Callithrix jacchus: one gene and its partner. The main gene of each other region encodes a partner of the protein of the gene in region 2 in a complex. Links are inferred from orthologs where the notes say so. Each region holds a gene or a part of one and is shown on either strand. Other genes may lie near its edges.

Evidence for each region. Proteins that work in one complex are often made in the same cells at the same time.
Region 1: the proteins of FMN2 (region 2) and SPIRE1 are in contact, whole or in part, in a crystal structure (PDB 2YLE), measured with the Homo sapiens proteins. The link is inferred for Callithrix jacchus from reciprocal best matches to the Homo sapiens genes FMN2 and SPIRE1. Residues at the interface, in NP_064450.3 of Homo sapiens: Ser1702, Leu1703, Lys1705, Ile1706, Lys1707, Pro1708, Arg1709, His1710, Gly1713, Ile1714, Lys1715, Lys1717, Ile1718, Lys1721, Thr1722; in NP_001122098.1 of Homo sapiens: Gln51, Pro52, Ile53, Asn54, Glu127, Ile131, Tyr134, Lys135, Asp138, Leu141, Lys142, Glu143, Asn144, Glu145, Glu146, Arg147, Glu148, Glu154, Ile157, Asp158, Ala161, Asn162, Thr163, Val164, Glu165.

The regions. Positions count from the first base shown.
Region 1 is NC_133514.1:49,846,908-49,850,653, reverse strand, and holds the start of SPIRE1 (protein spire homolog 1), read right to left. Parts: upstream 2,532-3,746; 5' UTR 2,286-2,531; coding exon 1,949-2,285; intron 1-1,948.
Region 2 is NC_133520.1:45,759,948-45,763,693, forward strand, and holds the start of FMN2 (formin-2), read right to left. Parts: upstream 2,301-3,746; 5' UTR 2,068-2,300; coding exon 474-2,067; intron 1-473. UniProt on the Homo sapiens protein: Actin-binding protein that is involved in actin cytoskeleton assembly and reorganization. Acts as an actin nucleation factor and promotes assembly of actin filaments together with SPIRE1 and SPIRE2.

The DNA.
Region 1 (3,746 bases), on a different chromosome or scaffold from region 2:
AAGCAGGTTGGACGCAACCATTTTTTCTCTGGAAATAGCTAAATCCCAAGGCATGACATTGCTGTTTTTTCTTGTTTTTTGAGACGGGGTCTTGCTCTGTTGCCCATGCTGGAGTGCAGTAGCATGATCTCAGCTCACTGCAGCCTCTGCCTCCCAAGGTCAAGCAATTCTCCCACCTCAGCTTCCCGAGTAGCTGGGAATACAGGGGCACACCACCATGCCCAGCTAATTTTTGTATTTTTAGTAGAGACGGGGATTTCACCACGTTGGCCAAGCTGTTCTCAAACTCCTGACCTTAGGTTAGCCAGCCACCTTAGCTCCCCAAAGTGCTGGGACATGAGCCACTGCGCCTGGCCAACAATGCTGTATTTTATAAATGTATGTTTTTAAGGCCCGGCGCAGTGGCTCACGCCTATAATCCCAGCACTTTGGGAGGCCGAGGCGGGTGGATCACGAGGTCAAGAGATAGAGACCATCCTGGTCAACATGGTGAAACTCCATCTCTACTAAAAATACAAAAATTAGCTGTGCATGGTGGCGTGCGCCTTTAGTCCCAGCTACTCGGGAGGCTGAGGCAGGAGAATTGCTTGAACCCAGGAGGCGGAGGTTGCAGTGAGCCATAATCGCGCCATTGCACTCCAGCCTGGGTAACAAGAGCAAACCTCCATCTCAAAAAAAAAAAAAAGTATGTTTTTATACCAATTAATACACTATAAATTATAATTGCAAGTATTTCCCACTTAGATTAAGTCCAAGTTTAAAAGCAATAAGCCCAACAAAAAAACTATTTGAAATAGTTTCAAAAGAATCACGAAAGATGTCTTTAAATAAACAAATTGTTTACCTGACACTAAAAAAGATAAAAACATTCCGGCGGAACTGAAAGAGTAACTATAATCTTGAATATTGTTCAAATCAAGTTAGACGAGGGTTTTCATTAAATGTCATTTTACTAATTCGATACTACATCTTTCATCTCAAGCATTTTGACACTTCCATCAACTTTCTAAAAGTGAGGGTGGATTGTTTTTCTGTTTTTAATAGACTTGCCTCTCAAAAGAATGAATTAGATAAAAATTGATGGGAGAAACCTTTTCTCAACCTCCGCCTCCTCTTCATCAATAGCATCTGAGTAAACCTCCGCTATAAATTACTGTTTAGTTCATAATCCTGAAAAATTTACACTGGACAATGACGTAACTAAAGCCCATTTTCTCTATATATCCAGACATCCTGTCAACTTTTTACTTCATAAGCCTGTTTTTCATCACAACGAATTTTCACATACAGGAATGTAATCGGTATTTTCTAATGTCCAGGAGCCAAAAATAATTATTTAGTCTATTTTTCCATTTCTCCCCAAATACAAAATTCTCCTCAAGGTTCAAAATCATCTTTACATTTCTGAACGGAGAAAAGGTTGTCTAATGTGAAATACTGCTAACTTCCCGGGAGGACTGCGGTGTTCCCGACAGCGGCTATGAGGATCCTCGTGGAGCCCCTGCGTGAAGCCTGTGGTGCCCTCCCCACCCCGCGAACCCGGCCGTGCGTCAGCAGCCACGGCGTGAGGCGCACAGGCAGCTGGCTCCAAGCAGGGCCCAGCCCACCGCTCCCAAACGCGCCGCGGGGCAGCTGTTGTGCGGGCTGCACAATGACTAGGGGCCCCCCCGACCCGCAGGCCCAGGCCCAGGCCCACCAGGCCAGCCCCGACGCCCTCCGCACAGCCTATTTGAGCCGCCGCCCGCCTCGAAGCTTTGATCTAGGAAGAGCCCCAGCCTGGCTACTGCCTGACGCCGCCCTCCCCCAGGGGCCCGGCCGGAGCCTGCCGGGGGTCTCCCATGGCAAACTGGGGGTGGCAGGGGCGGAAGGGACAGGGACTGTGAGGGTAAAGCGGCCTGACCGGGGGTGTTCCTAGAGACTGCGAGGGAAAGGGGCCCGGCGGCCTCACCCGCAACAGGGGGCGGCTCTCCCGCGTCGTCGGCCGCGGGCGCCAGGGTGACGGCGCCGTCTCTCCAGACGCGGATCTGCGCAGCCGAGCGCACGCGACGGCCGGGCTGGCGGCGGCGGGCGGCGGCGCGCAGGGAGCCGCAGCACTGGTAGCACACGGCCCACGCCTGCTCCTCGTTGATGGGCTGGTTATAGAGTCGCAGGATCTCCTCCAGGCTCAGTGCGTCCTGCGAGCCCCCGGCATCGCCGCCGGCTGCCCCGGGCTCCCACGGCCCCTCGCCGCCCACCGCCTCAGCCCGCGGCTCTCCGCCGCTAGCCCGGCCGGCGGCCTGAGCCATCGCGCGGCTGGGCGCTGCGCTCGGCAGTAGCGCCGTGTGCCGGCGTCTTCTCAGCTCCGGAGCATCGTCTCCGCGCGCCACCGCCTCCTCATCCCCCGAACCGCCGCCACCCAACGCGGCCGCGCGCGCGCCGCCGCTGGGACAAGGCGAGGGCCCGGGAGGCGTGGGCGAGCACCGGGCGGCGAGGACACGGCTACAGACCCGGGCAGACCGCAGCCGGCTGGTAGCGACGCGATGGCGTCCGGCGTCCCGCCCCGCCCCGCCTCGCGCCGCCCAGCGCCCGCCCCTCAGGGGGCCGCACGGGCCGGGGGTTGCGCGCTCTGCAGGAGACGCACTGGCGAGAGGGCCTCGAGGCGGGAAGGCTGCAAGATCTGGAGCAGACCGCAACCCGTAGGGCTCGCAGAGTCGCAGGTGGTGATGCGCGGTCGGTGAGGGCGGTCGCAAGGGACGCACAGCTGGGGGCGCGGGGGTGAGGGCGGCGACGCTCTGTCCATAGGGGCCGCGCGGCCAGGAAGGGCGTGCAGGGTGGTAGGGCGTGGTGGACACGCGGGGCCAGGGGCGGGAGGGCGATTGGGAGCGCGGTCGGGGGCGAAGGGGCAGTAGGGGGGTCGCATTTATCAGGGATGCCTCCGGCAGACTCTGGCGGGATCTTGAGCGCGCCAATCCGGGTCATTGCCCTGCACAGCGGGAGAAGTCACCGCATTGAAGTTCCCTAGGCGCTGGATGAACGAAGATCTGGTTGAGAGCTTGAACACCCCTGGAGCAGATGACTAAGAAAACGCTGGCCCAGTGAAGCTTCCCTGCTGAGCCCTAAGCCCTGAAAGCCTCCCGCAGTTTACCCTGACCCCGTGCCTGCTCTGTGCGTTTTCCGATTTCTTGTTGGTTGAATACCTCCCTCTCCACTCCCAACTTCAGGGTAAGCCCCGTGAAGACTGGGATCTTTACGAGTTTTGTTCACTGACTTCTCCCAAAAGCTAAATCAAGGCCTGGAATATAAGCATCTAGTACATAATTTGCAGGTGCTCCGGTACCACACTTATCACAACATGTGGAATGAATATCACAGTGGTAAAATTGAACTGAGGGCAATTAGCCAATCCCAGCACTTTGGGAGGCTGAGGCGGGCGGATCAGGAGATCAAGACCATCCTGGCTAACCCGGTCTCTACTAAAAATACAAAAAAATTAGCCAGGCATAGTGGCAGGCGCCTGTAATTCTAGCTACTTGAGAGGCTGAGGCAGGAGAATCGCTTGAACCCAGGTAGAGGTTGTGGTGAGCCGAGATTGTGCACTCCAGCCTGGGTGACAGAGCGAGACTCCGTCTCAAAAAATAATAATAAAGTAAAAATAAATAATTCAGCCCCTCAGCCCATTAAGTATGCAATAAAACAGTTCTTAACCACTCATTGGTTAATGAATTTAATCGATAAAATTCCACTGAGGCTGATTCTGTGTGAAAGCC
Region 2 (3,746 bases):
TTGGATTGTACTGGAATAAGTGATTTGTGCCTCCAAAACTGACTCTTGTAAAAGAAGCGTGAACAATTATTTTTTCTTTTTAATGCTGTGGTGATGAGAAACAAAAAGAGAAGAATGATGGTTTCGCTAACCAGATGAAAAAGGACCGTATCTCCCTGGCGTGACACTAAACATTGTGAACAGTAGACATTTTGGTGAAATGGGCAGAGCAACCTTTTCTTGAGATGACTTAGCATAGACGCAACTAAGTTGTTCCCTCTAAGATCTTGTGAGAACATAGAAAACCGACAAGTATGTCCAAGGCATTTCACCGAGGAGGGTGAGCTCACTGGGCGGAAAAGGATTCCCCACGGGGAAGAGACGTGCCACTAGCAGGTCACCGCCTTCCAGCACCCAGGGACGGCGGGAGGCAGGGGAAGGCCCTGATTGGCAGGCGACTCGTGACCCGGAGGCCGGCCGCAGGGCCCGCTCACCTGTGAACACGTTCTGGAAGCCATCAGCAGCCGCGGGCGCCCCAGACGCCTTGGCGGTCAGTGCCGGGGACACCCCACCGCCGCGGTCAGCGGCCACCCCGCGCTCTAGCAGGTGCGCGGAGCCTCCCGCCCCGGGCGTACTGGCGCCCAGTTCCTCCGTCCAGTCCGCGGAGCGGCTCAGGCCGCCCGCGAGGCCGCCGTCTGCCCGGTGCTTCTTGGCCGGGGCGGCCGCGGAGGCCAGGGCAGTTCTGGACCCTTGGCTCAGGGAGGCCTCCGGCCGCCTCTTGATCCTGGGGCTCTGATTAGGGGACTGAGACGGGGAGTGATTGGGCGAGCTGAGCTGCCGGGTGGTGGTCTTGATGTAGCAGGGGGTGATGAGCGGGTAGGGCTTGAAGCAGCGCTGGCTGGGCGCGGGGCTGCCGGGCAGGGAAGCGGCCACGGGGACGCCAGGTCCTTGTGCCCCCTCCTCGGGTTCTTCCCCCAGCCTCTGAGGGGCGTTCTCTCCCCCCTCCGGGGCCCACTCCTCCCCCGGAGAGCCCCGGGGCGCATCCTCAAAAGCATCCTCCTCGCCCTCCTCATCCGTGTCCCCAGCCCCCCGCGCCGGGGCTCCGGCCGCTTCCTCCCCCGGCCCGCCCTCGGGAAACGGGAAGGCCGTGGAGGAGGGCGAGTCTCTGGGCGCGGGTTGGGCCGCCGGGAGGCTGGGTGCCTCGGAGACCGGGAGGCTGCCGGGGGACGGCGGCTGCTGGGGCGCCGAGGGCTCGGCGGCCAGGCTCGCGGGCAGGTCGGAGAGCGCGGACAGCGCCTGCTCAGTGTCTGGACTGCCCGGGGCCTCCCTAGTCCCGCCGCTCGGCCCCAGCAGGAATCGGTCCAGGCCCAGGAAGGCCCCGGGCTGAGGGGAGACGGCGCTGGGGGGCGCTGCAGGCTCCTCGGCGCCCTGGAGCTGCTGCGGCTGGAGCTGGAGCTGGAGCTGCTGCTGCTGCTGCAGGCGGATCGCCTGCTGGATGTCGGAAAGCAAGTCCTCCTGCTCCGTAGCCGAGTGGAAGCTGTAGATGTCCGTGTCCGAGCCCGAGCTGGTCCTTTGTCCATCCTGCGCCCCCGCTGCAGTTTCCACATCCTCGGCGATAGGCCGGCCCCCGACCCTCGCCTCGGCAGGCCCAGGCACCCCCGGCCGGGTCACCTCAAAAGGGTCCGCGCACTCGGTGTCCGACAGGCCGGTCTCGTCCGCCGAGAGGCTGAGGTCCGGAGTCTTGGTGAGCAGGGAGTGAGCGCTGTCCAGCTCCCCGGTCTGCAGGGCCTGGGAATCCAGCACATCTTCGCGGGAGCCGCCGGCGCCTTTCCCCTTGGACAGATTCTTCCGGATCCGCAGGTTGGAAAACACCGAGGCTCTGGAGTCCGACTTGCTCTTCTTCTTGCCCGACTCCCCGCCGCCGCCCCCTCCCCCCTTGCCGTGCTTGCCCAGCGCCTTCCTGCCCCCGCTCCCCTTCTTTGTGGCTTCCACGTCCCTGGGCCCCAGCGCATCCTCGGTGCCGCCGCCGCCGCTTTCGTGCGAGGCATCACCTGCGCTCCTCTTCAGCTTCCCATCCTGGTTCCCCATGGTGCAATCCCGCTGCTGCGCCGCCGCGCCGCGGGCAGTCAGGCCATCGCGGCCCTCCTCGGCCCCGGGCCCGGGCCGGGGGAGTCTCCCGGGAGAGTCAGGCGGCTGCGGGGCGAGCCGCTGGGAGGGGAGGCCGACGCGCGCCCGGCTGGCCCCGCTCGCATCTGCCGCCGCTTTGCATAACGCGCGGCTGCTCCCGTGGCTGCCGTCGCTGCGGCTGCGGCTGCGGCTGCGGCTCGGGGCCGGCGGGGCGCGAACATGCTCAGTGCAGAGCGCGGCGCCCGCCAATGGCTGCGCAGGACGCAGCTCGGGCCTGCTTCCCCGCCCGCCGCCGCCGCCCCCTCGGCCCCCGCGCGGCTCCTCGCGGAACCTGGGCGCGAAAAACGTTTCCTCTATCTCGGGGACTTTAATCTCCACCGTGCGAATCGAATGCATTGTCCGCGGCCGAAGAGCTTGTCTGCTGGAAGATGCACTCCGATCTTCAGAGCTGCTGGACCTGCCACGAGAAAAGTTAAACAAAAAAGAAGAAATTTTTACATGGGGAAGAACTGAAGCCCAATTCCAGTTCAGAGGTGCCATCGTGTCACGGCCACATACACAACCCCCTGCCTGCCTCTGCATGACTGTTCAATAAATATTTGCTGAATGAATGGATTCTTCTGTTTCTTGAATAATTGATCATCTCATTGAACACTGTTAATGTGCTTGAACACATGGTTTAAGAAAGGTTACTACACATGGTGCTGCTTTTATGTTTGACACACAGACCCTGCTTCTCCAGGAGAGGACATTCGCTGTCATTTCTAAAGTTGGTTCGTGATTTTTTTTTTTTTTTTTTTTTACAGAAGGAGCCGTAGGGGAAGCAGAAAATACTGAGATTAGATGCTGAGATTAGAGTTGATTAAAATGCTAATCTCCAAATTCCATGTGTTTACCATATAAATTAAACAGCATTTGTATTCAAAAAGGGTGCATATACGATAACTCCCAGGAGGTCAAACTCATCAATATTAAACGTGTCACTATTGTGGCAGCCTATAAAAAGGAAAAAGACGGAAAGGAACACCCTTGGCACACACACACAAAATCAGATGTTATGCTATCAACTATCACTTTTACAAGCAAACCCTCCCAGGCAGACTTCATCCTCTAGAAGTTTCTTATCATTCTGGCCACAATATCGGGATAAACACTTTTCCTCATTGAACATTTTGTCATTATTTTCATATTTATTAAATTTAATTACCTACTTTTTAAGAATTTTTTTAAATGTTTATCTAAAGAAGCTTTAAGCAGTAAACTGAGATTGAAGTGTCATTAAAAAGTGCTAGAATTATTTAAGTTAGAAGTTCATTTATAACCACTTTGAAAATATGGAATAACTATCCAACTTCTTAATATTTTTAAAGTAACCCAGAGGAGGGAGAAAGGCTATATATTACACTGTGCAACTTAAATGTAGCAAGCAAATGTGCAGTCTTTCTTTGCATATTATGAACCAGCCTTTTACATTAAAAAAAAAAAAAAAGGTTAGTCTTGTAAGTCTTTGATGACTATCATTTTTCAAACTATGTTTTTAAAAATAAATGTAGTTTAAGGGCAGACAGCCAGTTATCCTTAGGTGGCCCTTTCGAGTAAATGGTTTAGAGAAATCAACTTTAATAACTTTGCCACGGTTA